3 linked regions of the Caenorhabditis elegans genome follow. The protein of the gene in region 1 interacts with the protein of each later gene in a pairwise test. Each region holds a gene or a part of one and is shown in the gene's direction. Other genes may lie near its edges. The genes, in order: nadk-1, npr-21 and chk-1.

Region 1 (10,074 bases):
GTCATCTGCCACTAGACAATGCTTAAAATTAATAAAAAAATTTCCAAACTTTTAAAGTTTAGTAAGTAATACAAATAAACTATGTGCTAATGTCAACATACCTCTCAAGTTTCAAAAAAACGCGATCTCAAGTTTCAAAGTAATTTTATATTTTTTGTCCTTATTACCGGTGTTAAATTTGATGTTTCATACAATTTTTTGGCGAGAATTTCAAAATTTCTGATAATTTTTTTTTTCAAATTTTCAGCAAAAAATTTTAGCGGAGAATTTAAAATTTGTGAGAAACATTTTTTGGCGGGAAATTCAAATGTTCAGTGAACATTGTTTAGTGGGAAGTTCAATTTTCTAAAAAAAAAATTTCGGACACGTGGTGTCAGGCTGTCTCAATGCGGTTTGATCTACAAAAAATGCGGGAAGATGTTTTGGCGGGAAATTCAAAATTCAAATTTTCTGAAAAAAAATTTTTGGCGCAAAATTCGAATTTTCTATACAAACTCAAAGTTCACTGATCAAACCAGAACACACACTTTCTTATTTTCCGAGGTAGGAACTAGTTTTTTTGTTGTCATCTTGCCGTCCCCTATGTGAACTTGTGGAAATGCCCGAACACTCACTCTAAAATCAAAATTCGAAAAAACAAATCATCATCATTATTGGCAAATGACCTCCCTTAATTAGATGATCTCTAGTGAATCATGTGACTTTGTGTGATCAGTTAACCAATTTTTTGACCACTTTCTCATATTTTTTTTTTTGACTTTCTGTTCACTGAAGTGCTAGGAATTTGACAAAACTTTTTGTTTTTTTGTTTCTCACTGCTTTTGGGCCAAATTATTGTTGTTTTTCTGAAATTGTATCTTTTTTGGTTAACTTTCAGTTGAACTGTTGTTTTTTTACTATACATCTTGTTCGGCGAAACAAGAAATAGTAGTTAAAAGTGTGTGACTTTTGGGTTTCACAGAATTCCTTCTACCCTTATTACTTCAACGTCTTATATCTCAGCACATTTTATTTATATTAGAAAAATTTCAACTGCGAAATTATAGAAAAACATATAACACACACTTTGTTAGTTGAAGATATTTCGCTGAATCTGATAATAATTGACATACGAGCTGCCAAAATTCAGAGAGGCAAAAATCCTTCGATGCACCATGTCTTGCCATCTTGCTAAACAGCTTATATCTTGGTTTAAAGTTTATGTATCAGACATTTTTAAAATGCAAAGTTATAGAAAATTAAATGTGGGAAATAATGTTAGTTAGCAACTTTTTGACATCACCAACGGCAATCGAAATATAAGCTTTCAAAAGTTTTTGTTGCGCACCATGTCTTGCAGCCCCGCACTGTGCCTGCTGTATCTCAATTCAGTTTGAAGATATTTGAAAATTTTCTAATTTAGAAAAATACTAGATAATTATTTTCTTAGACAAAAATCTATCACCCAATTTCAAAAACTGTCTTGGAGGTCACTGTGCCAACACGAACTTAGTTTGAACCAAAAATCTCCACCCTATACTTTCAAATATTTTTCAAATCGACCAAAAAAACTAGTCGCTATGTGATGCGTGTGTGATTGATTTGATAAGATTTTCCAGGGGGACTATACGCACTTCGTCATCATTGATTTGATGCGATTTTCGTTGACAAGCACGCCGCGCGCAAATCTATTCCGCAGTTCTTCTTGATGCAATTCACCTTTTCGAAATCGTTTTTTTTTGTTGATAATTTAGTATTTTCCTTTAATTCTTAATTCCCAGAGCTAAAGCTTCCATGGTACGCAGGCGCGGTCTCAGGACCTGACGCCTGCCTGAAAAATGCTTTGCCTCTTTTCTGCCTCTTGGAGTGAGTTTTCAAATAGCAAACTTTCTGATTTCTATCATTATTGTTTTGAAAATCAAATTGTGAAAGGAAAAAAAAATTTAGGTATGTTTTAGCATAAGGCGCGTATTGAGGCGAGAGTCAGGCGGAGATCCGCCTTAAGGCCAGACAGGTAGGCGTTTTAACGCCTACACAGAAGACCTATCAAGAGCCTTTTCGGTGGATGCACCATGTTTTACAATTTATTCAATTTATTTTGTAGTTCCATCCCAAAAATTTAAATTATTTGGTTGAAATTAATTGTATTAACCGAATTTGACAAATTCGAACTCAAATTCCATATTCATTCAACTCGAAAAATTGTATGTTAGATCTTATAGACCACAAAATAACAACTTTTTAACTATTTTGTATTTCTCTCTAAACATCAGACAAGATGTGCCCAAAAAAGTGACAGTAGTCAATTAGTGCTTGTTTTGTAGTTTGTAGTCAGCCACGTGTCATTCACGTGTATTTTGGTCGTTCTAAACAAGACGCGGTCATAAAAATGTGTACAGTGATAACGATGATGACAACATCAGGTGAGACCGGGGGTTTGGCAAAAGGACACATCATTTAAATAAATATATGTACTGTGTTGGAACCGGTGGGATTATTGTGGACAATAAATAGATAAATGAGCAAATATTATTGTTTTGAGCAAGGTGACCACCGGAAGAAGGGTCACATGGCAAAACGACGTGGAGTTAAATGTATTTTTAGATGGCTTGAAAGAATTTCAAAAACTTCTATATGTAAATAGTTGAATTTTAAATATTTTCAAAATTAACTTTGCTGCAAGTCATGGTGCATCGACCAGAAAAACCTCGCTTAGCATTAATTTCGCTTGCCTGTGGTCTGATCAAAATTTTGTCAACTAACCAAATATCAAGCATTTTTCTAGTTAGAAGTTTTTCAATATCTTCGAAAATAGCAGAGATATAGGCTCCTGTGGTTGATTTGCAAAGCATGGTGCATCGATATCTCAGTTGTCTAGGGGGTTATCATAATTTTGTCAACTACTAAAATATTTTTCAAATCTTTTTCTGTAACATTGCAGTTAAACTTTTCTTGTTGTATTTTAAAGTAGCAAAGATATAAGCCCTCAAAGCTGTTCAGTTTTGTGTGGTCACAATGTATTACAATATCACAATGATCACTTCCATAAAGCCCTGCTGAAGCCCAGGGCACAAAATTTAGAAGGGTCAGGTCGCAATCTAGCCATTTGTCATCATGGCTACGCGCACACTCACACTGTGTCTCTTTGTGTCTCGGCGGTGTGCATGTGCCTTTAAATACCCCCTTTTGAATCATTCACGCGTTCTTTGGTTCTTTGGTTCTCAAGAAGAGCGGAGAGCAATCGCGTAATTTGTGCAGCCTTTTTGATAAGACTTCTTCATGAGTTACTAGATTTAAAACTCGAATTTTTACTATTTTCTTAATAAAAAACTCCGAATTTCCCCCATTCTCACCCATTTCTCTAGTCGGACACAAAATTTTGTGGTCTCCCGTGCTCTATAGTTTTTGGTCATTGGTCACATCGTATGTTTCGAAATCATCGCCGCTGTTTTTGTTTTGAAAATTGATTTTCAACGAATTCTCTTTGGTTCTCCCAGCATAGAAAACGGTCATTTTTCTTTTTTTTTAATTGCCGAAGAAAAAAATATAATGGAATCAGTGGAGGCGCAGACTGTTAGAAAGCATTTGCACTGTTTATTGAACGGTTTGGCGCCCGTTACTCAGTGGAAGTGAGTGGTATCAAAAAATGCGTTCGGTTGCATTTATAGTTTTATGAGATGAATATTTTGTAATTTAACAATTTTGTGATAAATTTACTTTTCGACGAGGTATAGAGGTTTTAGCACAAGCTGAATCCCGCAGCCTTTTAAAATCAAATTCTCATAACGTATTTTTACTTTTAACTCCTTTTAACTCCTTCGAAGTAAAAGTTATTCAACAGTTGTTAACTTGAGCATGTAGTGTTTTTTTAAGGCGGCTATAACTCAGCGGAGGTTAATGCTATGAAAAAGATGAAAATTACAAAAATGTTCAGTTTTATGTGGTAAATAATCTTTTAATGAACAATTTTGCGACAAATCAACTATTCGACAAGATACGGAGGGTGCTAGCTTCAGCCATTGGCACCCTACTTCTCACCACTAAACCTTTATGCTCCTGTAACTCAGCGGAGGGTAGTTTTATGAAAAAGTTCACAATTACAAAAATGTTCAGTTTTATGTGGTAAATAATTTGTTAGTTAACAATTTTAGGATAAATTTATTCTCCGAGGAGATACAAGGGCAGAAATTTCAGTAGCTCTCTTCATCGGCTCCCTTGCCGCTTCACCACCAAACTTTAGGCGCCTGTAACTAAACGGAGGTTACTGTTATGAAAAAGTTGCAAATTACAAAAATGTACAGTTTTATGTGATAAATAAATTGCTAGTTTAACAGTTTTTTGATAAATCCACTTTCCAACAAATTACAACGATTTCTAGTCTTCGACACTACTGCTCACCCTTCACCACTGAACCTCCAGGCGTCTGTAACTCCGCGGAGGTGAACTCCATTAAAAAGTTGCCAACTACGAAAATACGCAACTTTTAAAGTTCTATATTTTATTAGTTGGCATATTTTTGATAACTCCTCTACTCGTAGAGATATCACAGCTTAAACTTATACTCCTTATACTCCAGCCGATCAAAACACCATTTTTTCCAAAAAATTCCATCATGGCGTCAAGTATCATTTCAACACCATTTATTTACTTTGTGTCAATTCTCAATTCTCAACTTTCAATTTCTCCTCAAAAATCAAACATTGCGAGCACATCTGAGCACGAGGGGAACAAACCACCACCTCCCACACAATTTCTATTGTTGTAGCCTACCGGAACGGTGGGCGGCGCCCAGACGTTCGGAAGGCGGAGCCCCGTTTATTTATAAATCGGGAAAAATTTTTGAAATTTTGAAATTTTGGAAATTTGAAAATAATGGTGCCATTTGTGTTGATTTTTTGGCGAATTCTCGAATGACTTTTCGTGTGTGATGAGGCGGCTGAAAAAAAAACTAACTGATAAGCTTTTCTATCATATTTTAACCTTTTCTCTCTCTCTTTTTTGATTCCATTAAATATCCATTTCCAATTTCTAATAATTTATAATTCCAGCCGTCCATCATGGCCGCTTTGGCAATTTCTCACTGCGTGAGCCACGTGGCGCGCCCAGTTTCTCCGGTAACACAAGGAAAACCGAGCGGAAGCAGACAGCAGCCGGTGAGCCAAATTTCGATTTTAAGCCTTGTTTTGGAGCAAATTTTTAGGCGATCCGGTTTGCGTTGATCCTTCGAAAGAGCACACGATGGCAATGGGAGAAGGAGCAGACGGGCTTGAGCGATGCTGATCTGAAAAAGTGAGTTTTACAACCAAAGCTGCTCGTCGATGCATCACGTTTTGCATCTCCACTTTGAAAGCTCATATCTTTGTTCATTTTTAAGATACTATAGGCACATAGCTAAAAATAATTTTATTAGTTGACAGTTTTCTTTTAAAACCAAATACAACGAGATAAAAACTGTGGAAGCTGGTTCTAGTCATTGCACCATGTCTCACGCCATTTCTAAAGCTTGTAACTTTGTTCATCTTTTAGATACTAAAAAATTGAAACTGCAATAATGTATGTCCATGTCTTCCTCCACATTCAGAGTCCATATCTTTGTTCATTTTATAGGTAGTAAAAAGTAAAAAATTTTTAACTACAAAACTGTAGAAAATCAAATATTTAAATATTTTGTCAGAAAGCAACTTTTCGATAAACCCAAAGCCAAATGAGATATAAGCTATCAAAGCTGGTTCCGGTCGATGCACCATGTCTCAAGCCACTTCTAAAGCTTGTAGCTTTGTTCATCTTTTAGGTACTCAAACAATTGTTATTACAAAATAGTAGAAAAACATATATTTCATATTTCGCCTGTGAGCAACTTTTTGATAACGCTAAAACAGACAGAGATATGAGCTACCAAAGAAGATAATTTTCGGTCGATGCACCATGTCTTAAAGTTCATATTCAATAGGTTGTTTCCTGAATTTAATTTTAATAACATTAACACTATATAAAATATGTATAAGGTGTCCGGTCGATGCACCATGTTTTGCTTCACCTATATCCTATCATACAGAAATTTGGAAAATTATATTTAGGCTAAAAACCGAAACTGTGTATTTTTCCCATGGTGTCTGCAATTGACAAAAGTCTACTGACCTCATTTGAATGTAAAAATGTCTATCAGGCTATATTCCCAGCTACTAAATCTTTTCAGGCACCTCTCCTCAAAAGGCACCAAGGTTCAAGAGCTCCTCGAAAACGAGAAGAAACAAGTAAACGCAGTGCAGGAAATTGTCTCCGAACTTGGCAAAGCAGGCATCTCCACAAAAGTTGTGACTCGCGAGCAGCTAGCCCAGTACCTGCCTGAAGCTGATCTGGTGATCTCTGCCGGTGGTGATGGAACCTTCTTGGCTGCAGCTTCCGTGGTCAACGACAACACCCCAATCATCGGTATCAACACTGACCCGATCGGAAGTGAAGGACACCTGTGTGTCGGTGGCAAGAATCCACCTCGCGATTTGATCGAGCGTCTGGTCTCTGGAAACTTGAAGTGGGTGCAGAGGACGAGGATACGGGTAACAGTAAAGGAATCCCGGAACTCGATTTTCTCATTGAAGAGGTCTGAAAAATCAACAAACCTCGCCCTGAACGAGGTGTTCATCGGAGAGGATGAAGCCGCCAAAGTCTCAACCTACAATATTTCCATCGACGATTCGCAGACAGTCAAGCAAAAGTCCTCCGGGTTGATTGTGTCGACTGGGACCGGATCGACGAGTTGGTACCTCGGAATGAACAGGATCGATGAGAATGCGACGACGTCAGTGTTGGAGGCACTGCAATCACTTGGCGTGGATGTGCCGATCACAAGGAATTTGGTGGAGAAGGTGGTGAATTCGGTGAATGAGAAGATCCCGTTCGAGCCAGATCATCCTAGTGAGTTTTTTGAAAGTTGATTGGAATTTGGGTTTGTTGAGTTGGAAACAAAATGTCAGGGGTATTTTTGATTACACAATTCCAAATATAAGACCCTGCACAGACATGGAAAAGGACTGAGAAAAGGACCCCATGGCTGGCCTCATCGTCAGGCTTCAGAAAACTCAAATTTGAGAATTTCTCATTATCTCACTTTCACTTTTAACTTTCCAGGTTTCGCCTTCTCAATCCGTGAGCCGATCTTCAACGCCACCTACAAACGCACGGCGACCCGCGGATTCGCCAGAAAGATCAAACTCGAATCCCGATGCACCAACGGATACCTGGTCCTTGACGGATCCACAAAGATCCCGTTCCCACGTGGCGCCGTCGCCACGATCGAGGTCAATCCGAATGATGCTTTGAAAACTGTGATTGTGTAACAATGATTTTGTGTGTATTGTTTTTATTGTACGGGTTTTCGGGTTGTCGTTTTTTTTGTGAATTATGAATTCGTAATTGTACATAGATTTTATACGATTTTATGTGATACATCAATTTGAAATTTGAAATTAAAAAAAAATAAATTCATTACTTTTTCATAACTGTATAAAATGGTCTCAAAAATGTGCTTCAAATGCACATTTTCTCAAAATTTCAGAGATCCATCGTTGCGAGATCCTTTGTCGTGGTGAGACCCCCCGTGGTGAGATCCCCGCAGTGCGATCTATCGTGGCGAGACCTATCGTAGCGGGACCCATCGAGGCCAGACCCTCCGTGGTGAGACCCATTGCAGTGAGACCCTTCGTGGTAAGACCCATTGTGGCGAGACTCCCTGTGCTGAGACCTCGTTCAGTGCTGATAATCTGATATGAAAAATCTGAAACCATACAAGCTGAAGTCATTTCGCAACCCCAGAAACTAAAAAAACCACAAAAACCATTTGAAATGCGACATTCTTTATTAAAAAGCTCTCTAATGAGTCTTGTAGATCTGCTCTGCCTGCGATGGCGCTGCCTCGACAGCCACCGATCTCGTTGGGCATGGACAGTAGGCAGCGTCTCCACCTGGCGCGGCATCCTCTCCCGGTGCTCCATCGGATCCATCGACTCCAGGAACTCCGTGTTGTCCTGGTGCTCCTCCGGCGCCTGGAATTCCATCGGCTCCCTGCTTTCCGTTCTTTCCATTGGCTCCCGGTGGTCCAGGTGGTCCACGACGTCCACTGTTTCCTGGATGTCCTGCTGATCCTGGAAGGTAGGTTTGTCCCTTGGCTCCCGGTGGTCCTCGTGGTCCGGCTCTTCCAGGCTTTCCTTGATGTCCTTGTGGTCCGGTCTCTCCTGGTCCTCCTGGGGATCCTGGTGCTCCATTCTGTCCGTCTTCTCCTGGGGCGCCATCGGTTCCCGGCTCTCCTGCACAACCATCTGGCCCTGGTGGTCCAGCTGGTCCTGCTGGGCAAGAGATGCAAGCTCCTCCAAAATTCTCCTTGATTGCCGCAGCATATCCAGGATGTCCATCAGGTCCATCAAGCCCATCTGGTCCGTCAAGTCCTGGAGCACCATTTGGTCCACGTGGTCCAGGTGGTCCTGCTGGGCATCCCTTGCTCTTGGCTCCACAGTTACACTGAGCGTTTCTCTTATTTCTTCCGAATAGCATGGCGGTCACAGCGGCACGGGAAGCTTCAGGGGCTCCGTTCTTGCGGAGCAGCTCCTCCCAGGCGTCATCAGCAACCTCACGAGTTGTTCGGGACTCTTCCATCACGTCGTTGTAAAGCCCATTGATGTCGGAAACGATAAGGCACATCGTTGCCAAGGATCCGATTGTGAGGACCGTAGCGGAAGCACATGCTAATGTCCCGAAGGCGCCCATCTGAAATGAAATGGTAAGGAATCAAAAATTGTACTGAATCAAAGTTAATTGTTTGCGAGGAAAAGTAAAAGTCGGAAAGTTTTGCCAATTCCATTCTTATCAGGTGCCATTATATACTAACCCCCAGAAGTTCCGCCTCTTTACTGCGAATCCATGATAAGAACCGGTTTCAAGACGGTTTCCATGGGGAACCTATACGCAAAAAATGTCTTGCTGTAACCGTGATAAGAGAACAGAAAGAGAAGGGGAAGTTGGATTGATTGGAACAAATTTCATTGTTAGCGAATAGAAGAATTTTTCAATTTTTCATTGGGCATTTGTATAACACGCAGAAATTTAAAATTAGTTTACTTAGTTCTGGAAACTTCATGGATCTCTAAAATCCAAGGCAATCTACTCATGGTGCATCGACTTCCTCGTTTTCTGGTGGTCATGGTGCACTGAAGTGAGCTCCAGATGGGGATGCACTAGGGTTTGGAATCCCCGAAGCATCCGACACCTTTCGGGTCATTATACAGCGCGTGATGGATCCAGGGATATGTCGGCCGTTTTATGTGTCCGGAATAATTGTGGCCGCTTAATTCATGGAGGTGCCTGGCACTTTATGCTTCGATATCTCTAAAGGGTTTGCAGCAGACAACTGCCGGGATTGTTTAACATCTTTAAGGACTAAGCAGCTGACACCTTGCGGGTTTTGATAGAACGGCATCTCTGGTGCTAGTAGCGGCCGACACTTAAAGGGTCTATAGCAAACGGTTGGCCTCTCCTGAGATCACGCAGGTCGACTTTTGCCGGGTAGATATTCAAATAAACGTTTACAGCAACAGGTAACAGCCGACACTTGGCGGGTTGAGTTTATTTTTTCAGAGATTATAGCGGCCGACACCTAGCGGGATATCACAGAGCAGCCGACATCTGTTCTAGTGGAAGAGACATCCCCAGTCATTAAGCAGCTGGCATTTGACGTGCGCGTAGACAGAACCAGCAAATTACCAGAGGCTGAGTAACCGACACTTTCCGGGTGGAAAAAAAACATCTGAAGAAGTTTAGCAGCCGACACTTACCTGGTTATAAAAATGGATATTAAGGATTCTATCAAAAAATGTCGAAAAAACAGAGAAATTCTTCATTTTCAAACCCGTACATAATCAAAATAAGCATTTTCACAATCATTTGGAACATCGGAGCGCAGTTTACAAGTTATGGACGACGTTGGAGGACTAGAATCACATGTACAACAAAATAAAAATAAGGTTATTCAGCAAATTCCACAGCAGCCGACGCATTTCTGCACATGAGCTGTATCCGAGTGACGAAATCGTCGCGTTTGGCGAG
Region 2 (10,952 bases), on another chromosome or scaffold:
GTTGACTGGAATTATTCATTGTATTCCTTGATTCATAATGTTGAAAGGGAAATGATGCTTTGTTTTTTGGCTGGTACAAGCTAGAATTAAAAAAAATCCAACTTTCAAATAATAAATTCTAAATGCTTGCCAGCACAATTAGTTTGCGATGTACCCGCCAAAATGGTCGCAGCACTCCGTTTGATTTACAATCTTCCCGACACAAATTTGTGGCGGAGTAAAACTATTCTCATAAATTTAGAAATCGTCATAGAAAACTACCTAAAAAATAGCGGTTTAACTTTTTGCTAATCACGCGTATGCCCAGCATGATTTTGTTTTTCATGTTCAATTACATTTTTCCATAGGCTAGTTTTATGTTTGGTTTTCAAATTTGAAAATTCACAGTTTTTAAGTGTATTGTCTGTTGGCAATTTGGAGTCTAGAAAATGTTTAGTTTGGTCAGTATATGCGTGGAAGGCTGTAATAATCTATCAAACTGCATTTTTAAGCCGCATTTTCAAACTCTAAGAACACTTTCACGCCCGACAAAACGGAAATTATTTTGTGAAACCCCTTTAAAATAATGTAATTCAAATATTGAGCTGAAAAACGACGTGAAGTATAGTTTTTACTTGTAGAGCTTTTGGTGAAAGAAAGTTCGCAAGTTATTTTTGTTAATGTGACGTTCCAGAAAATTAATTCGGATACCTATACTTGAAAAGTTACCACATTTTTAAATACACTTCATTTTTACAAACTTCATTTCTATTGTTTTCAACTGATCCGGAAAGGGCTGATCGGATATTAAGTAAAAACTAGACCCTTTCCAATTTTATATGTATTTTTGGAGCTGCTCTCCAATTTTAGAATTTTTTTACTATTGTATGCTGTTGTTATGAGCTTCATCATGTTCATACTAAGAACACATTAGTTTTCAAAATATTTTTATTACTATTCATGCTCATTTTACTATTGATATTGTTGCGCTACCGTACCTTAGTCCCCTACTGTTTTCGCTGTGCAAAAAAATGTAAGCATTCCGGAATTTGAAAAGACCAAAAAATTCACAAAAATTTGAACATTCTTCCAAATTCTATCATGTTCCTGCTCGGTATATTGAAAGTATATTAATTAGAGTTCAACTTTATGCTCGCCTTTCCCCAGACCCCATCTGTTTCGATGTGCAAAAAACCAAATATTTACCAGATTGAAAAGCCCAAAGAATACACGGAAAAAGTTGCATTTATACACTCGGGGTGTTCAAAAAGTATGAATTGACCGCAGGTCATTCTCATCTCGCATTTGACTTTTCTATTGTCTGTTTTCAGTACGGTCCATTTGACCGTCTCTTCTCTTTCCTTTCTTCCATTTATACATTCAAACTGTCTCTATTTGCTCGTGGTGCGGACACTTTTCTCTACTCAGTTTCGCCCCTTCTTCCGAAACACGAGAACCTCAATTGCACACGTTTTCGGTTTAATTGGCAAACGGGGCCCCATAAAGTTAACACACTTCCTCGCTTCCCTCTTCCACTCATCTATTTTTGCTACGTGTGTGACATTTTGAATAAAACTACACTTCTGGGATAGGGATGAATGGGAGCAGGAAAAAAACGGACAAAGTATAAAGAACAATTATTTTTTTTCGAAATGCTGACCCTGTTGAACCTTAAATTTTTAATTGAGCTCTAGACTTTTTCGATCTAATGAGTTCACACTATTTTCAAAAAAAAACATAAAACTTTTGATAACTATTACAAATTTTGCCCAGCAATTTTGAATTGATATCAAACATGTCACTTTTCTAATGTTCTATAAAACAATTTTTCGAATAAGGATATTAAACGAATTTATGAGTTGCCAAACATAAACTAAAACGAAAATAAAGCAAATAAAGCAAAAAACCATTAGTTATTCAAAATTTTCATTTTAATTCACCAATCCTGCAAAAACATCATCTTTGTTCCATTAAAGTATTTGTACCAACATTTCAAATATCCTACTCATCATTTGCCTTGGTTCAAATTACCAAAACTTTCACGCACTTTTGAACTGTTCTGTTTGTTTTTTTTTTTTCAATTCTGATACATTGTAGTTGCTTTTAGAAAATTAAAATTTGAGTTACAAATGAGATTGTAATATGTCAGCCGCTTCAATACGTACTGACAATGTTTTGTTAGACAAAACTGGGCTGCTTAATTCACCTTAGTCCTCTATTTGTAAAAAAGTTTAACATCAAAAGTCTGATAGTAAGTTAAACGTTGTTTTCTGTAAGTCCGGACCCATCAAATGTCAGCCACACGTTTTTGGTTGAACATCAATTTTTTAGATTTACGAATTTATGGCAATGCAGTTCAAGTTAGCAAAAGCACCATCTTACTATGTCTAATAACATTAACCGTATACTTCTTGCAAGTTTGTCATGTACTTCCTCTTTCCATACGTCTGTCAATCGTCGGCGACAGAGTCCCTCCTCTTCTAGACACCCCCGGATGAGGCTAGATATATAAACATAAAGACTTTTAATAGTTCCTTTCTACCACTTGTGCCATGACGTATCTGGTCCGGATATTAACACTGGTTTCTGCTCACTGTTTCGTATTTTGCCATGTCTATCAGACGTCTACCGGGAAGTTTCATTGGTCATCTCACTCTCTCATTTGATTATTCATATTTGTTGTTGCTATTAGCCGTGAGTTTGTTCTCCGTCTTTTCCAAGAAGTGGCAATTATTGCACTCGCTCAAAGTTTCGTGCTCCCTACTTTTGCAAACCACAATTTGTTTTCAGAAATATGTCTGAGTTGTAGATGTAATAGAATTCATACTGAATTGAGCATCGGAAAAGCAAAATATATTACTCGGTATTCTTAGACAACCGGGAAGAAGAAGCCAGGTTTTGTAGGCAGACGCTCGGCAAAAACAGGAGGTGCTAATTCATTCACGTCTCCATTTTTTTTCGAAAGTTCTCATATTTTGGAGTGTGATTTTTTGAGAATTTATCATAAATCAAAAGGATAATGGCTGTTCATAGCATCTAGCCTGATTCAAAAATTTCGAAATAAATTTTTTAATCATTTGCGAAAAAAACATTTTTCCGACATTAAACATTTAGTTTAAAATTTCAAATTCACATTTAATGATTTACAAATTTCCAAGAAAACAATTCCCGTGAAAATGAACATTTTTGCGCGCGTTCTCACACGTATTAAGTGTCTAATGGTTAGTAATGACTGGCAAAATTGGGATAGAAATTCACGTCATTATTTATGCGATTTGAGCTGGAAGAAAACAATTTTTCTTTGTAGATTTTGAAATTTTTTGAATTTGTGATATTATTTTTTTTTCTTGTAATTTTCTCCCATTTGGTTTGACTTGCAAATATGTAAATTTGGAAAATGCCCTCATTAAAATTTTTTTCTTAAATTCTTAGATTTTCTTTGAGCTCAAGGATAGTATCTTTTAGTTTAAAATGTTCGCTCTGGTACTCTGAATTTTCCAAAAATGCGAACGTGTCTGAGTCCAACAACTCCCAGGTTTCGCGTTGCTCTCAACATCGCCGCGCGGAACACGGTAGTTGTCGGACCGTGTTGCATCATTACTTAGAAATTTTCTGAGCAATTGACTCCGAAAATGGATGTGTTCAAATTTGTGAAAATTGAGCATTCAACACTTTTGTTGGGTTGAGTTTGAAAATTTGAACTTGAACAGACAATTCCCTGTGATCCTTTGTAGCTAAATCTATGTTCTCAGATAACCAACAGTTGGGGGGTAAACCTGCGTGGGTGTGGTTTTATGCTAAATGCGCAGCCGACACCGATGGAAGTCCGCGATTTACAACTTGAGTACCTGTTATATTCGAAAAATAACTTTTCGATGAAGTGTGAAAGTTACTATTAATTTTACGGTGACTAACCTTTTCAAAATCCCGCTGGCATTCAACTTCAAGTTTTATCTTTAAAGCTTATTCACTTTTGACTTTTTGTACACTTCCGATCTTTGAGTTCCACCTTTCGACATCCGCCTACTTTATGTGCATATCGTCAACTCTGAACGACATCGTAACTTCTTCCTCCTATTCCCTGAAACATTTCCACCTGCTCTTCTATTCATAGAATGATGTGGTGGGTGTCAACCTAGGATACTTTGAGCTTTTTTAAAAATTCACTTGATCTATGTGTCTTCCCGACTTCCTTTTCTCTCCGAATTCTTTTCCGAATTCCCCCGAATTTCTTTACTTGGAAAGTAAAAGAGGAAATTAGACGGCAAAAAGAAGATGTGTTTCGTGAACTTTTCACAACACTTCAAGCGTTCTTCTTTGAACTGCCCGTCTCGTCTTGCAACTTTTTTCATTTCATTCTCGTTTTTTTCATCTCATTCACATCTTTAATCATTCATTGAAATCTTAGGGCCGAAAATCCAGTATCGTTTTCATTCTTCTTTTTCGTTGCTCTAGCTCCTCCCCTGCGTCACAACATTTTTCAATTATTCTCAAAGTGTTATTTCTGTTTGTGTGGTTGGAATTCGAACTTTACACTTAAAACTTTTCACCTGCTCTACGTTTTTAGAAACTGTTACAATGTTTTTTCACCAGAATATTTTCAGAACGAATGGAAAGCGACTCCCCACTTAATCATCCTGTGGTACACTTTTTGCTCTGTGTATCCTACCTTTTTGTCTTTCTGGCCACTATAATCGGTATGCCAAGGATCTTTGTTCATATTTTTAATATCTGAAAATATTTTGCAATGATTATATTAAATATTGCAGATATTAATGGTTTTTTTTCGAAGTTTTTCGATGTTCACTTTCAAAATTCATTCTAAACCTAAAGCATGCTCCGGCATACCCAGAGATCATTTTCTGCTTCACACCTTTTCTTCACAATCGAATTGTTTTTTTTTCTAATTTCTTCTAACTCAGACTCGTGAATGCGACAAAATTTCATTTGATTTTCTCATTAGGACGGTTTTCGTAGCTAGGCAAACACACAACCAAGCAAACAATGACATTCATTTTTGATTTGTTATCCAATATCAGATGACAATATATCAGAAGACAGAATCAACAGTAGGCTATAATTAGATTACATTGAAGTGAGCAATAATTGGTGAAACTAAACTGATAATCGACATTTAGGTTCAAATTATATGGTAGAAGTACGTAGTTAATAGTAAGTGGTAGAGGACAAACTATTAGAACTTGAACAATTTATTTTAAAAAAGGAAATTAAGCTATGGGCAAATTTGAACAAAATTACCATCAAGCTATAACATAAATTCTTTCAGGAAATCTTATCATTCTGCTGGTCTTCTTCTCGCAGAAACGAGTCCGAAGTGTGCCCAACTTCTTTCTGGCAAATCTGACGGTAACTCTCCTCCAAAACTCACCTCCTATTCTGAAAATAATCTATTTCTAGGTTGCCGACCTTTTTGTCGGAATCTTCTGCGTTCTCCAGAACGCTGTGAATTTTGTATTCCAAGGACATGGACGGTGGCCGTTTGGCAAAGTGTTATGTTATTCATACATCTACGTACTACACTTCATACCAAATGTGTCGGCTGGAATTCTGGTAGGCAATCATGACGTAGGGAATCTTTGAAAAGCAACATTTTGATATTCAGGTGCTGGTCTCGGTTGAAAGATTGATTGCGGTGCTCCGTCCATTGCGGGTGCGAAGAGCATTTTCACAAAAAGTGCTCATCACATCGTCAGCTGTTGTTTGGCTAAGTAAGCTGACTTAAAAAGAAATGTGGAAATGAAATGTTTTCTTAAATTTCAGCTAGCGCAGTTATGAACACCCCATATGTAGTGGCTAGCCAGTTTTTAGAGATATCAGACGGGAATGAGACATACACAGTAAGTAACTTCACCTACCTGCCTGCATACAGGTTAACCACAGCCGAGTATGAAAAAATTCAGGCTAAAAACTATTATTTAAAAAAAATTCTAAAACCGCTTGGATACAATATGGCTAAATATGCAAACTTTGCCATTGTTTTTTTTCTAAAAGAATTTTCTAAAGATCTTTTGTTAGTTGAAGTATTACCAAATTAGTTCAAGAAGTTCCTTTTCTCGAAATAAAGATTTTTCCAGATCTGCACTAGACGTCATGTGGAAATTTATGGATTCAACCTCCTGAAGCTAGTCGCCACTATCAACTTCATCGTCTGGTGCGTTCGTCAACTCTATATATATTTTGTTTTGACTTTTAAAATTTTTCAGGTACGCCGTCCCTCTAGTAATCCTTCTTTGCATCTACGCTACCATCGGCCTCGTGGTGAGCAAGGCCGCAACAATCACGAAACACTCCGCCAACAAGCTTTTGCCAAGATCAAGCTGGCGATCCGAAGCCTCAACCGGCGGTGTGTCAGTGGAGAAGAGGAGAAAGGTTTGTTTAAAGATTCAGAACATGTGTTCACAGTTTGTTTGTGCCAAGTCGAACCACTTTTTCTCAAACGTTTAGTTCTGAGAGATGACACTTAGCCATATGGTAAAACCAAAAGTTATTGAAATTTGTTGAATTATTCAAAAGTTTGGTATAGGGCAGCATTTGATATTTAGCTTGAAACTTGCTTTTTAAAAAAGTACATGTATAAATCAAAAGACTAGGCACATGTGTTTAAAACCAGTTCAAAAATTGGAACATTTATTAACGGGACAGAAAAAAAAAGGGTCATTCACTGTGAGGAAAGCCTCCAGATTTTCAGAAGTAATATCAAACTACAAACTACAAAATCGACAAAATTTATAAACATACATTTTTCAACAAAAAAGTATTTTGTTGATATATTTCTGACATTCAATTTCACTTCAGGTTGGTCGTTTGGCAGTCGGAATCGTCGTGGCATTCGCGTTCTTCTCACTCCCGAGATATGTATATTTTATGTGGACCGTCTGGCGAGATCCGATGGGTAAGCACGTCGTCCACCTGAACCTCCAAGTTCCAAGATCATAAACATCAAACTTTTCAGCGCCAAGATGTTTGAACTGCCTTCAAAGTGTACTCCAACCCATCAGTTTCCTGCTTCTGTTCTTTAATGCCGCCGTCGACCCATTCCTCTACGCATTCCTTTCAACAAGATTTCGTCAAAGCATCAAAGAAACATTTCATCTTGGAAAGGTAAAGAATGTTCTCCAGCCAAGACATTTTCATTCTATTCGATTCAGCTTTCAGGTGCGTGAAAGCAACATCGAGCAGTCATCACGAGTGCGGCGTAAGGTGTTAAACTCGGAGTTGGAGACGGGTTACGAATATCATAATCACTCATAACAAATGTACATACATGCTTTAAAATTCTAATCCCACTTATTCACACATTCTCACACATATTGCGTTCTGTTTTTGTGATCTCACCCATGATTTTCAAAACTTTATAATGCTATCACCGTTTCTTTCCACAACAGTCTCCTGTCAAATTTGTAACATATACGTAATTATGGATATAGTTTCTGTCAATAATGAATTTGTCAAAAAATCAATTTTTTGGGTTTTCATGCTTAAACAGAGTTTGTAAATTATATTAATCCCAAATTACAAAATTATGCAATCGGATTTCTCAAAAATGTTTTAAAACTTTTTAAGAAAGGTCAAAATTTCAATGATCATTAAATGAACATTGATTTCCGGCCATGTGCCACATACAAACATAAATATTGAAGATTTTAGCTGAATTGAACAGTTTTTTTTTGAAATTTTGAACTGCAATGTAAAATATTTTAAAAACTTTGAAAAGTCTCATTATGAAATTTAGTTGTTTGGGTAAACTTTCGAGGTCTTTGGGCAACTAGAGCTACTTTTATATATTTTCAGCAAGCTTACAATTGACATAATTAAAGAAAATATTGCCCAGTTTGACTATTAAAGATATTTTTGACCCTAAGTAATCAACTTTCAGTATTCATGCAAAAAACCTCTAATCATTTTTTTCTGCTTTTCAGCTCTTTGAAAAATTCAGATGGCAAATTTTAAATAATACAAATGCATATAAAACTTAATTTCAAACATTCACAACAATCAAAATGAGTATCAAATAAGGCTCAAGTATATAATAAAACAAAAACTATACAAACACATCATAAGTCAAAAATCCGTTAGAAGGAACGTCCAGCCGCATAAGTTGGAATTGGGCCCACAGTCTCCGGGTTTTCACTTCTCAACGGAACTTTGATCTTTGCCAAGTTGCAGTCACTACCCGACACGGCGTAGGTAAGCATATTTGGAATGCTCCAAGTTCTGAAATTTTCAAATGTTTTCTCTAGGATGTTCTATGGACAAAGAGTTGGCACCAAAACTGCTATTGACATTCTCAGGAACTTTGCAACAAGTCCTGCGTTTGCGTTAGTGTACGGTTTCAACTTACTCATTGAGTTTTCTGCTCAATGTTTCATCAATCTTTTCAGCAATCTGGAGGCCTGTCTGTGCATGCACAACATTCACCTTTGCCTCACAAACTCCACTATCCTGGATTACAACTGCAAATTTACTTAATATTAAACACTTTATCTATCTAGAACTCACCTTTGACCGGCGCAAATTTTGTATCAAAGGTGATTACAATTTGCTCTCTTGTCAGAAAAACGTCCATCTTGATTGCGGCAACCGTGTGCTTTTTCATACCCTGCTTCTCATAACACGCGGATATCATCGACTCCCAAAGGCTGATATGCATGGCTTCGTTGCGAAGAATTGCAATTATCTGCAATTATAATTTATTTTTATCGAGTAGTGGAATATCTGACTACATATGTTAATGATGTCTTAAATAATATTTCTACTTCTAGTATTTGAACGGACTCACAAAGTTCAATAATTCCCTGTGGCAAAAAACCGAAAGTTGCAAAATGTGTGTCCATATTATGTAAAGCATGCATTAGCATGTATGCTTATTTTCTCAAAACAAAAAAGATACTCAAATGTTTATGTTTTTGCTAATTGAATCATGAAACTGGCGCTTTTAAAATACAATCTATGTTACTACTGCTTACCTCATGAAAATCTTGCAAATGCTTCAAATAAATCTCAGTGATCACAGAGTCACCATCATTGCGCAACTGGTTCACATCGACATTGTAGAAGTGTTGAGTTTGTCCATCGCCAAACTGTGTAATCATCTGCAGGTTGTTCTCAATCTTCACCGCTCCAGTCACGTAGCGATAGCTATTTGTGAAATGCTTAACGGATGGAGTCTTTGCACTGATTGCTCCCAACTTCTTTCTAGTCGTTTCAGTAAGATTGAACCCTCTGGATAGCTTCATACAAATCACAGCGTTTGCTTCAATAGATTCTGCCCAGCCTCTGGAAATTTACAATTTTCAATAATATTAAGATGTGAATGAACTCACTTTGTGTCAAACTCTGGAAGTGTACACGGGCTATCATGCTTGGCAAACGAAAATTCAAAGTATGGCAAAACTTCGTGATCATCCTTTTGTAACTGGAAAATATGATCCTTGGAGCGAATGTTCCGAAAGTGTGGTTCCGCCAAATAATATACACGCCCTGCGCGGAGATCATTACGTGGAAGGTAGAAACTAAAATTAAAATTTTTCATTAAAAAAATAATTATAAAGTTACCCATAGTTGGATCTGTGAATTGAAGTGTAGGAAGGGTCTTGAGAGAAGTGTCCAAAAAGCATCTCGAGCATTCTCATAGCTCCCATGCAGTTTCTACGATCGTCTCTGAAAAATGGGAGTGAGTTCTAGAAGCATTATTTTTTGCTTTGCTCAAAGTCAAACAACATACCTGCTCAACAACTTATCATACGTCAACAGCATATCTGAGATTCGGTTTCGAAGCTCTGTCCACATCCCTAACTGGAGCATTCTTGTAGCTTCTGGGGAGTAGAATGAAGGCTCTTCCCAAAAACTAAGCACAACGGTTGTCACTTCACCATCGTTGACAGTAAAGTCCATGATGAGATCTTCTTGACGATTGATGGACCATCCGCGAGAAGTTTGTTTGTGCAAGCATCTGGAAATAAAAGTGAGCTATGTATTTTAATAAATTTTGAGCGATTAGAAGTTATGGCTAGGCAAATTTCAAGTGGATAACGTTGGAATATGTATAAGTTTTGTCGGACTCCAACGTACCAGGTTTCTAATTTTTTTAAAAGGAAACTAGTCTATCGAGAAACAAATGTTGTGCAGTACTTTCATTTATTTGTGAAATGTAATAATGTGTAAAGATTTCAGAGAAATTGAGTAGGTGCTCACTTTCTTAATTTTGTATATTTAGTACGCGATTATTTTCTAGCAATTGGCAGTCGGTAAACTCTTCTAGTTTTTGACAGGTTTGCGTCTCAATCTTGGATACAAGTACAATATTTTTATTACAAACTAGGGTCCGATGTGGAACTGATTTTGGTTCTTCAAGAAAACATGAAACTTGACAGTGTTTCAGAAAATTTGAAGTATATGTGGGTCTACTCCTTTTTGATTTTTTTCTTTCTTGAAGCAACAGGTGCTACGAAAAATAGATTTCCAAGTTATTAATGCTCAATCGGCAAATGAATTCTACCTTAAGAGCACTCAAAAATTATACATTTTGATGCATGTGAAAAATAGGTGCAAGGAAATGCTCTATCATTTTTAGCAGTTAAATTCTAGGTTCCAAAAAAGCCAGGTTTTTATGGCAGTTTTCTAAATTTAACGCCATTTCTCTAACTGAAAACTTACCCAAGACTCTCAGCCATAACCCGTATCTTCTCCTCCATCAGATTGTTTTCCTCGATTGGCATTTTTGTTTTCATGTACGCAATCCCGTTGAGCACGTCAATTCTACCATCAGCATCGATTGTGTTACGTTTTTCCTGCAATTCATGCATTTTTCAAATTGTCTTTCACAATAAATAAGTTTAAAGAAAATAGTTACCAACAAGTTTCGCCTCACAGCCTGCCCGAATGATGTCCATTCCATTTTTGATGCGGCTTGCCGGACCTGTTCCAATCTCATTTCCTCGTCAATATGCTCA
Region 3 (10,173 bases), on another chromosome or scaffold:
GGCAATTGCAGAACATTTTTGGGAATTGTGTTTTTGCACTTTTTTTTGAAAATTTCAGAATTTAACTTTTGATCGTAAAAATTGTGCGTATCCTATAAATGATCCTAAATCTATTTTGAAAAGTAAGCAAATTCTATGAAATTATCTAAAGAAAACGGGAAAAATTTTAAAAAGGCACAGTTTGAAGAGGTTCCGTCTCATAAAAAATTCCTCTAAAAACTTCCGGCAAATTGATGTTCGGCAAATCGGCAATTTGCCAGTAATCAAAATTTCCGGCAAATTGGCAAACCGGCAACTTGCCTAAAATCGAAATTTCCGGCAAATCGACAATCCGACAAATTGCCGATTTGCCGAACGGCAATTGCACTCCACACTGGCAAGTACTTTTAGTTTTATAAGCGAAGCGCCGTAAATCGACCCTGGCCGAGCAAAAATCGCCTAATTCCGCAAATTATTGCATTTCAAAATATGAGGGAAGTAGATCAAACCGAAATGGAACACTCCGACACCACGTGCATAAACCAATGTACCATAATGGGGTTTGATCTACAAAAAATTGGGAAATTTTTCGCACAGAAAAATGAGACGTCAGCACGCGAAATCAGAAATCAGAGCCTGAATTCCCGTAATTCTCGTAGATCAATGGGACCAGCACTGTCGTAGCACCATAAAATCTGACCCTACCTTATGACAATTCTTCGTGTTGAAAATCTCCTTCAAATTTCGATGAAATGAGAATGCGCTGAATAACTTCCAACCAAAACCCTCCTCCTTCCTCGTTTTGTCGTTCAATTGGAATTTTTGAAAAATATCGGAAAATCCTGATAAAATGCAGAGACCCACAATCAATGATAAAATGAGTCTGGAAGTTAATTTCTATGAAAGTTAAAACTGGATAAATTTTTTTCCTGAACTTACAAAACTATCCATGTTCCCAACGAAATTACTGGAACTCTCTGATTAACATTCCGTACACTGCACACTGGAGACAAGGCTTTACTGGGCCCCAGGGCTGTAAACTTTTGCTATTACTTTTTTACAGCCTGTGCCATTTTTACGAACCTTCTCTAAAATACCCCGTAAGATCCTCATTTCGACAAGACCAGGGTAAGCAGAGATCTACTCCAATTTGCGGGAGGTTACACGAGCTATTGAACGAGTTGGGGCGCATTTTCATATCGAATAAGATTCTGGAACTAGTTGGATTTTGCCGCACAAGTTGCAAAAACAGGAAATATGTAGGTACCTGTAATAATCTCCCTGGACAGTTCGATTTAAACTCGAGGAGAACATCTGAATGGATTTGCATTCCGAAAAAGCGCCGGTGCTTAGAATATGGCCTCTAACGATGCCGGATCCCAGTTTACCGGCAGCGTCCATCACTGGAAATTTGAAAATTTTAAGTCAAAATTTCGTTTGAAACTTAAATGTTTAGCTATAATACATCTCTTTTAAACAATGTTCAACTAGTTTTCTCATTTTCTTAGAAATTGCGGGAAATTTTAAATTCCGGCAATTCGCCGATTTGCCGGTTTGGCGAAGAATATATGTGCAAATGCGCTCTACTGAACACCGAGCATTTTCGGGCGCTTTTTAAGGAAAAAATGTTTGGCCCAAAACAAAATACTATTTTTTGAGAAAACTAATAAAAAAGTTACTGTTGTAATTTTTTTAATCTTTTAAAACTTTTTTCTAAATTTTTAAAATGATTTTTCAATTTTGCCAAAATAAATTAAATGAGATGTTAGGCTCCGCCCACTTTTTGGATATATACGTGTTTTCTGGCAAGTTTAACTGTTTTTTTTTCAAATTTTATTTGTGCTCCAGTTACGTGGCGTCATGTTGTCCCATTACGATTTGATCTACAAAAAATGCGAGAACTTTTTGCCCAAAATAATGTGACGTCATCACGTTCTTAACCATGCGAAATCAGTTGATAACTCTGCCGCATTTTTTGTAGATCTACGTAGATCAAGCCAAAATAAGACACTTTGAGACCATGTACTCCAATTTGAGACGCTACATGAGTGGGCGGAGCCTAACATCTAATTTCTTTTAATTTGGCAAAAGTGGAAAAAAAATCAGAAAAAATTTAGAAAATACTTCGAAAATTTTTTACGTTTGTTACATTTGGTGATTACGGTCTATTTTCTGTCATTCAGAGTAAAAAATTTGGATCGTGTCAGGACCCACATTTGAAAAAAAATATCTCACTGGGAATAAGGTAATCCTTCCGTTCCTGATCGGTCATTGATGCTGGGACCGCCGCCGTACTGTGATGCCGGGCATATCGTGCCGCATCGATTACACCGTAACCCAAAAATGAAAGCTCTTCGTGACATTCTTGAGAAATTGAATAATTCGCATTTGAGTGAATACCGAGGGCAGCGATTAGATCGCTGGTTTTGTATTTTTCCTGGAAAATGTCAGATCGTTGCGAGACCCAAAGGTGTCAGGCTGTCCCATAACGGTTTGATCTCCAAAAAAATGCGGGAATTTTTCCACAGGAAAGTGTGACGTCAGCACACAGTCTGTGTCTCTTCTTCCGCATTTCTCAAAGATAAAACCAAAATGGGACACTTTGACACCACCACGTGGAAAACGTAGAACACTCTTGATTTGACAAAAGTGCCAAATCGTTGCGAGACCCAAAGTATCCAGAAACCCACCAGCTGCTCCATAACCTCTATCGGGTGAGCGATCAGCTCGCCGAGCAGCTCCATAGCCTTATGTGGATCGAATTCGATACCAGAACTGCATTGTAGATTAGCGAAAATTATGAAGACTAGAAAAATGGCACGTAACATTTTGTGCATTATGAATTGAATATTCTAAACTCATCTTATCAGTGTTATTACGTACGGTTATCATTTTAAAAAGTTACAATGAAATGGTAAAATAACACAAAAACATGGGAATCAACACTGAAAATCAGAAATCTTGTTTTTTCGATAGATAAGGCAAACGATTTTTTCCGACAATCCGGCAAACCGGCAAACCGGCAAATTGCCGGAATTGGAATTTCCGGCAAATTGGCAAATTGCCGAAAATCAAAATTTCCGGCAAGCCGGCAAATTTCCGGCAAATCTGCAAACCGGCAAATTGCCGAGTTGCCGAATTTGATGGATAAACGGTTTTTAACGGCAAATAGGCAAACCGGCATTTTGCAGAAAATGAAAATTTGTGGCAAATCGGCAAACAGGCAAATTGCCGGAATTGAAATTTCCGGCAAATCGGCAAATTGTCGGGATTAAAAGTTTCCGACAAATCGATAAACCGGCAAATTGCGGGTATGTCGAATTTGCCGGAAAAAACGGTTTTTACGGCAAATCGGCAAATCGGAAAATTGCCGGAATTTAAGTTTCTGGCAAATCGGCAAATTGCCGGAATTGGCATCTCGGGCAAGTCGGCAAATGGCCGGAATTGAAAATTTCCGGCACACCGGCAAACCGGCAATCCGCGGAAAATGAAAAGTTTGGGCAAATCGGCAATCCGGCAATTTGCCGATATTGAAAATTTCCGGCAAATCGGCAAGCCGGCAATATTCCAGAATTGAAAATTTCCGGCAAATCAGCAAGCCGGCAAATTTCCAGAATTGAAAATTTCCGGCAAATCGGCAAACCGGCAATTTGCCGATGATGAAAATTTCCGGCAAATCGGCAAATCGGCAAACCGACATCTTGCCGATTTGTCGACCTTGTCGACAAAAAAAAGTTGCCGAATGTCATTAAATGTAGGCCCAACAAAACTGCAAATAATGGTATCTTTTCTGTAGTTTGTAGTCGATGACGCCATTTGTTGCAGCAGAAACAAAATCTTGGAATCTTCGAACTTTCTGGAATCATCTGCAGAAAAATTTTTGTAGAACTTTTGGAGACTTCTGGACAAATCTGGAAGTTCTGGAAAAATTCTAGAAAATTAGAAAAAAAAACTTTACTGTAAAATTCTGGAGAATTCTGGAGAATTCGGTGTCATTTCTGAAGAGAAAAATCCAAAAAAACACCGGAAAGCTCAAGGAATTTACAAGAAAATTGATGTTCTTTCTATTTTTTGGATTCGGATGATTCTGTCGATATTATTTTATTTATATTTTCATATTTCCCTCATTTCAATAATTTTTCGCCTTTAATTCATCTCAATAGTGTAAAATTCTATTTAAAAAACATAAAAACATATAAAACATGTTTTTTCGACAAAAAATTGCCCGTAAATCCACACAAATTCCGGCTCCGAGCGGGATTTCGGAGTGTCGTTGCGCGCGGTAAATTCGAATGCGGCAACGTTTTCTGCGGTTTTCTTGTTTTCTTGATGCAAAATTCTAAAATATTTCAGGTTTTATTCAGTAAAAAATGTAAAACAAAACGATATTTCTCGATTTTTATCAATTTTTACCCTAAAAACCCAGAAAAATCAAGGTTTCTTTTAATTTTTTTTAACTTTTCCTGTTTCAGTGGTGAATAATCCTTTTTATTTTCAATTTTTCAGCAGAAAATGTCAGCAGCGTCCACGACTTCTACGCCAGCAGCAGCAGCAGTGGCACCTCAACAACCAGAATCGCTGTACAGAGTCGTTCAAACGCTCGGAGAAGGCGCGTTCGGCGAAGTCCTCCTCATCGTCAACACCAAGAATCCAGAAGTGGCGGCGGCGATGAAAAAAATCAATATCGCCAATAAAAGCAAGGATTTCATAGACAACATTCGAAAGGAGTACCTTCTTCAGAAACGTGTGTCCGCTGTCGGCCATGACAACGTGATTCGAATGATAGGAATGCGAAATGATCCGCAATTTTACTATCTCTTCCTGGAATATGCGGACGGCGGAGAGCTTTTCGATAAAATAGAGCCCGATTGTGGAATGTCGCCGGTTTTCGCGCAATTCTACTTCAAACAACTCATCTGTGGACTCAAATTTATTCACGATAATGATGTGGTTCATCGTGATATTAAGCCGGAAAATTTGCTGCTTACCGGAACTCGTAAGAATCTTTTTTTTTTTTTTGTCAATTTTAAAATGCTTAAATTATCAAATTTAATCTTCCAGATGTCTTAAAAATCTCGGATTTCGGCATGGCAACTCTTTATCGGAACAAAGGAGAGGAGCGACTGCTGGATTTGAGCTGTGGGACGATTCCGTACGCTGCTCCAGAGCTCTGCGCCGGAAAGAAGTACCGTGGGCCGCCCGTCGATGTCTGGTCGTCTGGGATTGTGCTCATTGCGATGCTCACCGGGGAGCTTCCGTGGGATCGGGCTAGCGAGTGCGTTTTCATCGCGTTTTTGGCGGAAATTAGCATATTTTGATGGTTTATTTCACATTTTTCGGCTAAAAATGGCAATTTCTCAACGAAAAATGTGTATAAACGAGAAAAAACAATAAAAACTATTTTCCGACCGTTGAGACACCAAAAATCAGAGATTTTAGCTAATTTTTGACGAAATGAATGTTTTTTTTCAGCGCCTCTCAATCCTACATGGGATGGATCAGCAACACGAGCCTCGACGAGAGACCGTGGAAGAAGATCGACGTTCGAGCCCTCTGCATGCTTCGTAAGATCGTCACCGACAAGACGGACAAGCGCGCGACAATCGAGCAGATCCAAGCGGATCCGTGGTATCAGCACAATTTCGGTCAAGTCGAGACACCGAACGGGCGGCCACTGAAACGCGCTCGCAACAATGATGAGAATATGTGAGTTTAATAGATGGCTTCGGCCATATCTGGTGTAGATTTACGGCGCGTTGCGTGTCGCGTCGCGGCTCGATTTTAGTTGCGAAAAATGCAATGAGGAAGGCCAGAACCCCATTTAAATTTAAAAAAAAATCACAATTTCATGTTAAAATGCTCAATATATTCCAGCACATGCACTCAACAAGCCGAATGCTCCGCGAAACGTCGTCACTTGGAGACTCCGAACGAGAAGAGCACTCTGGCGGAGAGACAGAATGCTTCGTTCTCCCAGCCGACAAAGACTGAGGATCTTCTGCTTACTCAGCATATTGATATGTCGCAGACCAACTCGGTTAGGAAAAAACCGTCAGAAATTGGCGGATTTTTAGCTAAAATCTCCAATTTTTCGGTCGTAAATTGGCATTTTTGATAATTTTAGGATGAAAATTCGCTAATGACACGGAAATGGTTGCAAAATTAGAGGTTTTTGCTAAATTTACTTTTTTTTTTGATTAAAAAACCCAGAATTTAGTTTAAATCCCCCTAAAATTTTCAGAATCTCCTCCAACGAATGGTGTGCCGTATGACACGTTTCTGCGTCGTCACCGACATCCGTTCCACGTACCAAAAAGTGGCTCGAGCCAGTGAGCACGCCGGCTTCGGCGTTCGTGAGACTGACGACTACCGTCTACTAGTCACGTGGCGCGAGGTTTCGATGATGGTCAGTCTGTACACGATGGGCGATATTCCCGACAAGCCACGTGTCATGGTAGATTTCCGCAGGTCTCGCGGTGACGGAATCCAGTTTAAGAAGATGTTCATGGACGTTAGAAACCGTATGCATGAGTGGATATGTACCGACGGAAACAACTGGCTCGCCAATCTTGGATATGTGCCAAGAAATCCGCAGATAGTTAATGGTGGTGGAGTCAATGTGGAGCACTCGGCGTCCTCGATCAATGTGGATGTCTAATTGTTTTTTTTTGTTTGTTCGTTTTTTGTTCCATCAGACTATTGAGATTTAAAGCACAATATTTATCATCATCATCATCACTTTAAACATCTCCCTATCCCATTAATTTTTAAATTTAACGTGAATTAACGCCGAATTACAAGCCTGTGAATGAATGTTTGTTTTTATCTCTGCGTCTAGAGTTTGTCCCCACTGCCTCATCATTCCTCCTCTTTCTCTTTTCCCTCTCTCACTTTTGCACAATATCTCGCTGCCCCTCGCCTCCGTTCGATAGTCGTCAGCTGAGAGAGTGTCTGCAGCAGACAAGACAATTCTTACTAAATAATACGCACGAATATATTCTTATGAATTTTTCTACCCCCTACTGTCATTAGGTCTCAACTGGAAAATCTGGAATTCGTTTTTGTAGTTTTCAAAATATCAGTGGCGCGTCGTTCCCACTTAACAACTCAAAGTGGTTCGGAAACCCATCGGAGAAGAGGCTGACGAGCCAGCCGTTGTCCCGGCCAAGCGACAGAGGTTTGCAATTTAAAAAAAGCTAAATATGACGATTTTGCGATACTGTACCAGGTCTCAACACGACAAATTTCTATAAAATTAATGCAAAAGTGTGTGTGCGCCTTTAAAGAGTACTGTAATTTCAAACTTCTGTGGTTACGGAATTTTCTTATCGATTTTTCTTAGTTTTCCGATAAAATTTCGTATTTAAATTCTTTTTTTAAACACCAAAATTTAACAAATGATGAGAACAATTGAGAGAAATCGATATTACGGGAACACAAAATGCTGAGAATGCGTACTGCGCAACATATTTAACGCGCAAAATATCTCGTAGCGAAAACTACAGTAATTCTTTATATGACTACTGTAGCGCGTGTGTCGATTTACGGGCTCGATTCTCGAAACTGATTCAGGCCCGTAAATCGATACAAGCGCTACAGTACTCCTTAAAGGCGCACACTCATTTGTATTTATTGTAATGCCACAAGATTTTGTCATTCATTCTTAAAGGCGCATCGATTCACTCAGATGGGTCTCGGCGCGAAAAAAAAATTTTTTGGAGTTTTTGCGTTTTCTTTCATTTTTCTGTTAAAGCCGACAAGCAGGAAAAGCACTTATGAAATTTGTCTAAACATTTTACGAAAATTTAAAAAAAAAACGACAAAACTCGCTAAAAACCAAGAAATTTCATTGATAAACGCAAAAAAAAAAACTTTTAAAAAACTCTTTTCGCGCCGAGACCCATCTGAATAAATCTGGGTGCCTTTAAGCGGACATGTCGACTTCTAGCGAAATTACGATAACAAAACCTTCAATTTCAATCGATTTTTTGTAGTTTTTACGATTGCAAACATATCAATTTTTGCAAATCGAAAATTCCGCGGCACCTAAAGTTTTAGACTACAGTACTCTTTAAAGGCGCATACCTTTTGACAATAAACAAAACATTGTCGCGTCGAGACCAGCTACCGTATTCTTGGCGCGCGAAAATTGGCAAAAATTTCAAAAAAAAATTCCAGAATGACTGTCGACGAGCAACTTGACGATGTTGGTCGTAAGGGTAAGAAGATGTCTGTAGCACAAAGATTGCAGAATCATGCGGTAAGGGTCTCACAGCGACACGTGGTGTCAGGTTGTCCCGTTATGGTTTGATCTACAAAAAATGCGGGAATTTTTTGCCCCAAAAAATGTGACGTCAGCACGTTCTTAACCATGCGAAATCAGTTGAGAAATATGCGTCTCAACTCCCGCATTTTTTGTAGATCTACGTAGATCAAGCCGAAATGATACTTTTTGACATCATGTTCCGCGATTGAAATGCAACAAAAAAATTCACTTTTTCCAGCAACTATCCCCCAGATCTCAAGATGATCCCGAAGAAACCGAGTCGGTGATTCGAAAGGAAATCGCGTTGGGAAAATATGATAAAGCAACAATTCGAATTATTGCACAATTTTTGGATAATATCGGCTTGACGTAAGTTTTTGACCAGTTTCGGGTCTCGGCACGACATTTTTTATGTTGAATGAAAACGGGTGTGCGCCTTTAAAGTTTCTTTATCGATTTTTCAGAGTTTTTTGTAAAAAAAGCACACGTGGTGTCAGAGTGTCTCATTTCGGCTTGACGCAGAGTTCTCAACTGATTTCGCATGATTAATACCGTGCTGACATCACATTTTTTTGGGCAAAAAATCCCGCATTTTTTGTAGACCAAACCGTAACGGGACAGCCTCGCACCACGTGGAATTTTGGAATTTTGAAATTACGAAATTTTAAGGCGCATGTCTTTTTTCAATAAACAAAAAATGTCGTGTCGAGACCGGCTACCGTATTTTTGACCCATTTTTTCAGAAGCTCTGTTGAAACTCTCGTTGAAGAGACGGGCTTCACAATTGAAACAACGTCGGGTGCCAGAGTCCGTGCGAACATTCTCAAAGGAAACTACGACGCGGCGATTCAAATTCTCGAAACTTCAAATGATCACATTACTGAGGAGACCGCAAAGCATGGATCATATATTGTTAAATGCTTCAAACTAGCTGACCTAGTTCGGAAAGGAAGGGTTCGTGCTAGACTTGGCACATGGTGTCAGAGTACGGTTTGATCTACAAAAAATGCGGGAATTTTCTGCCCAAAAAATGTGGCGTCAGCACGTTCTTAACCATGCGGAATCAGTTGAAAACTCTGCGTCTCTTTTCCCGCATTTTTTGTAGATCTACGTAGATCAAGCCGAATTGAGGGACTTTGACACCACGTGACATGGTGCATCGTGTGTCCAAAATATTTTCAATTTCAGTACTTTGACGCTCTGTTCACAATGCAGAAAATGATACGAGGCGTCATACTTGATCATTCCGAGCATTTTGATTATTTTGACACTTTTTTCAAAGACGTCCTGCTCGGAAATTGCCGATATCAGAATATTGAGTGAGAATTTTTATTTTAAAACTCGATTTTCTAAATAATTGGAAAATTTTCAGCCAAGTTGCCGAGAGGCAGTCCCAGTTGGCGTTTCTCGAGGAAATTCTTCCATCCGACTTTATTTTGCCGCAAAATCGATTGAAGACTATTTTGAATAAAGGTAATTGATTTTTTGAGGACACAAAATTCTGAGAGCTCTGCGTATTGCACAACACATTTGACGCGCAAAATATCTCGTAGCGAAAACTACAGTAATTCTTTAAATGACTACTGTAGCGCACTGGTGTCGATTTACGGGCCTTAATCAGTTTCGAGAATCGAGCCCGTAAATTGACACAAGCGCTACAGTAAGAATTACTGTAGTTTTCGCTACGAGATATTTTGCGCGTCAAATATGTTGTGCAAAACGCATTCTCCGAATTTTGTGATCTCTTAATTGTACATCAGGGGTGGGCTGCAATTGCCGTTCGGCAAATTTTGTAAATTCGGCAAATCGGTAAATTGCTGGTTTGCCGATTTACCGGAAATTTTGATTTTCGGCGATTTGCCGATTTTCCGATTTGCCGGAAATTTTGATTTCCGGCTATTTGCCGATTTGGCGGAAATTTTGATCTT

Evidence for each region.
Region 2: the proteins of nadk-1 (region 1) and npr-21 interact in a two-hybrid assay, tested with the Caenorhabditis elegans proteins (one large-scale study listed by BioGRID).
Region 3: the proteins of nadk-1 (region 1) and chk-1 interact in a two-hybrid assay, tested with the Caenorhabditis elegans proteins (one large-scale study listed by BioGRID).

What each region holds. Positions count from the first base shown.
Region 1 is NC_003282.8:1,452,048-1,462,121, forward strand, and holds nadk-1 (NAD(+) kinase), read left to right. Parts: upstream 1-5,027; 5' UTR 5,028-5,036; coding exon 5,037-5,132; intron 5,133-5,179; coding exon 5,180-5,268; intron 5,269-6,175; coding exon 6,176-6,894; intron 6,895-7,107; coding exon 7,108-7,316; 3' UTR 7,317-7,474; downstream 7,475-10,074. Other genes in the region: col-106 (Nematode cuticle collagen N-terminal domain-containing protein), read right to left, coding at 7,849-8,739; Y77E11A.12 (GRAM domain-containing protein), read right to left, coding at 9,994-10,074.
Region 2 is NC_003284.9:17,151,594-17,162,545, reverse strand, and holds npr-21 (G-protein coupled receptors family 1 profile domain-containing protein), read left to right. Parts: upstream 1-4,577; 5' UTR 4,578-4,588; coding exon 4,589-4,676; intron 4,677-5,266; coding exon 5,267-5,346; intron 5,347-5,397; coding exon 5,398-5,550; intron 5,551-5,602; coding exon 5,603-5,708; intron 5,709-5,760; coding exon 5,761-5,837; intron 5,838-6,074; coding exon 6,075-6,151; intron 6,152-6,203; coding exon 6,204-6,369; intron 6,370-6,795; coding exon 6,796-6,892; intron 6,893-6,906; exon of another isoform or gene 6,907-6,952; coding exon 6,953-7,101; intron 7,102-7,155; coding exon 7,156-7,251; 3' UTR 7,252-7,458; downstream 7,459-10,952. Other genes in the region: mdt-1.2 (Mediator of RNA polymerase II transcription subunit 1.2), read right to left, coding at 8,073-8,214, 8,342-8,453, 8,500-8,677, 8,967-9,276, 9,324-9,512, 9,556-9,660, 9,725-9,952, 10,657-10,790 and 1 more.
Region 3 is NC_003283.11:3,753,782-3,763,954, reverse strand, and holds chk-1 (Serine/threonine-protein kinase chk-1), read left to right. Parts: upstream 1-4,485; 5' UTR 4,486-4,491; coding exon 4,492-4,975; intron 4,976-5,040; coding exon 5,041-5,254; intron 5,255-5,451; coding exon 5,452-5,685; intron 5,686-5,853; coding exon 5,854-6,016; intron 6,017-6,220; coding exon 6,221-6,637; 3' UTR 6,638-6,802; downstream 6,803-10,173. Other genes in the region: oac-55 (Nose resistant-to-fluoxetine protein N-terminal domain-containing protein), read right to left, coding at 685-862, 919-1,012, 1,063-1,196, 1,247-1,382, 2,215-2,416, 2,670-2,816; gid-7 (CTLH domain-containing protein), read left to right, coding at 8,159-8,239, 8,484-8,614, 8,989-9,199, 9,434-9,564, 9,618-9,718. UniProt on the Caenorhabditis elegans protein: Serine/threonine-protein kinase which is required for checkpoint-mediated cell cycle arrest and activation of DNA repair in response to the presence of DNA damage or unreplicated DNA.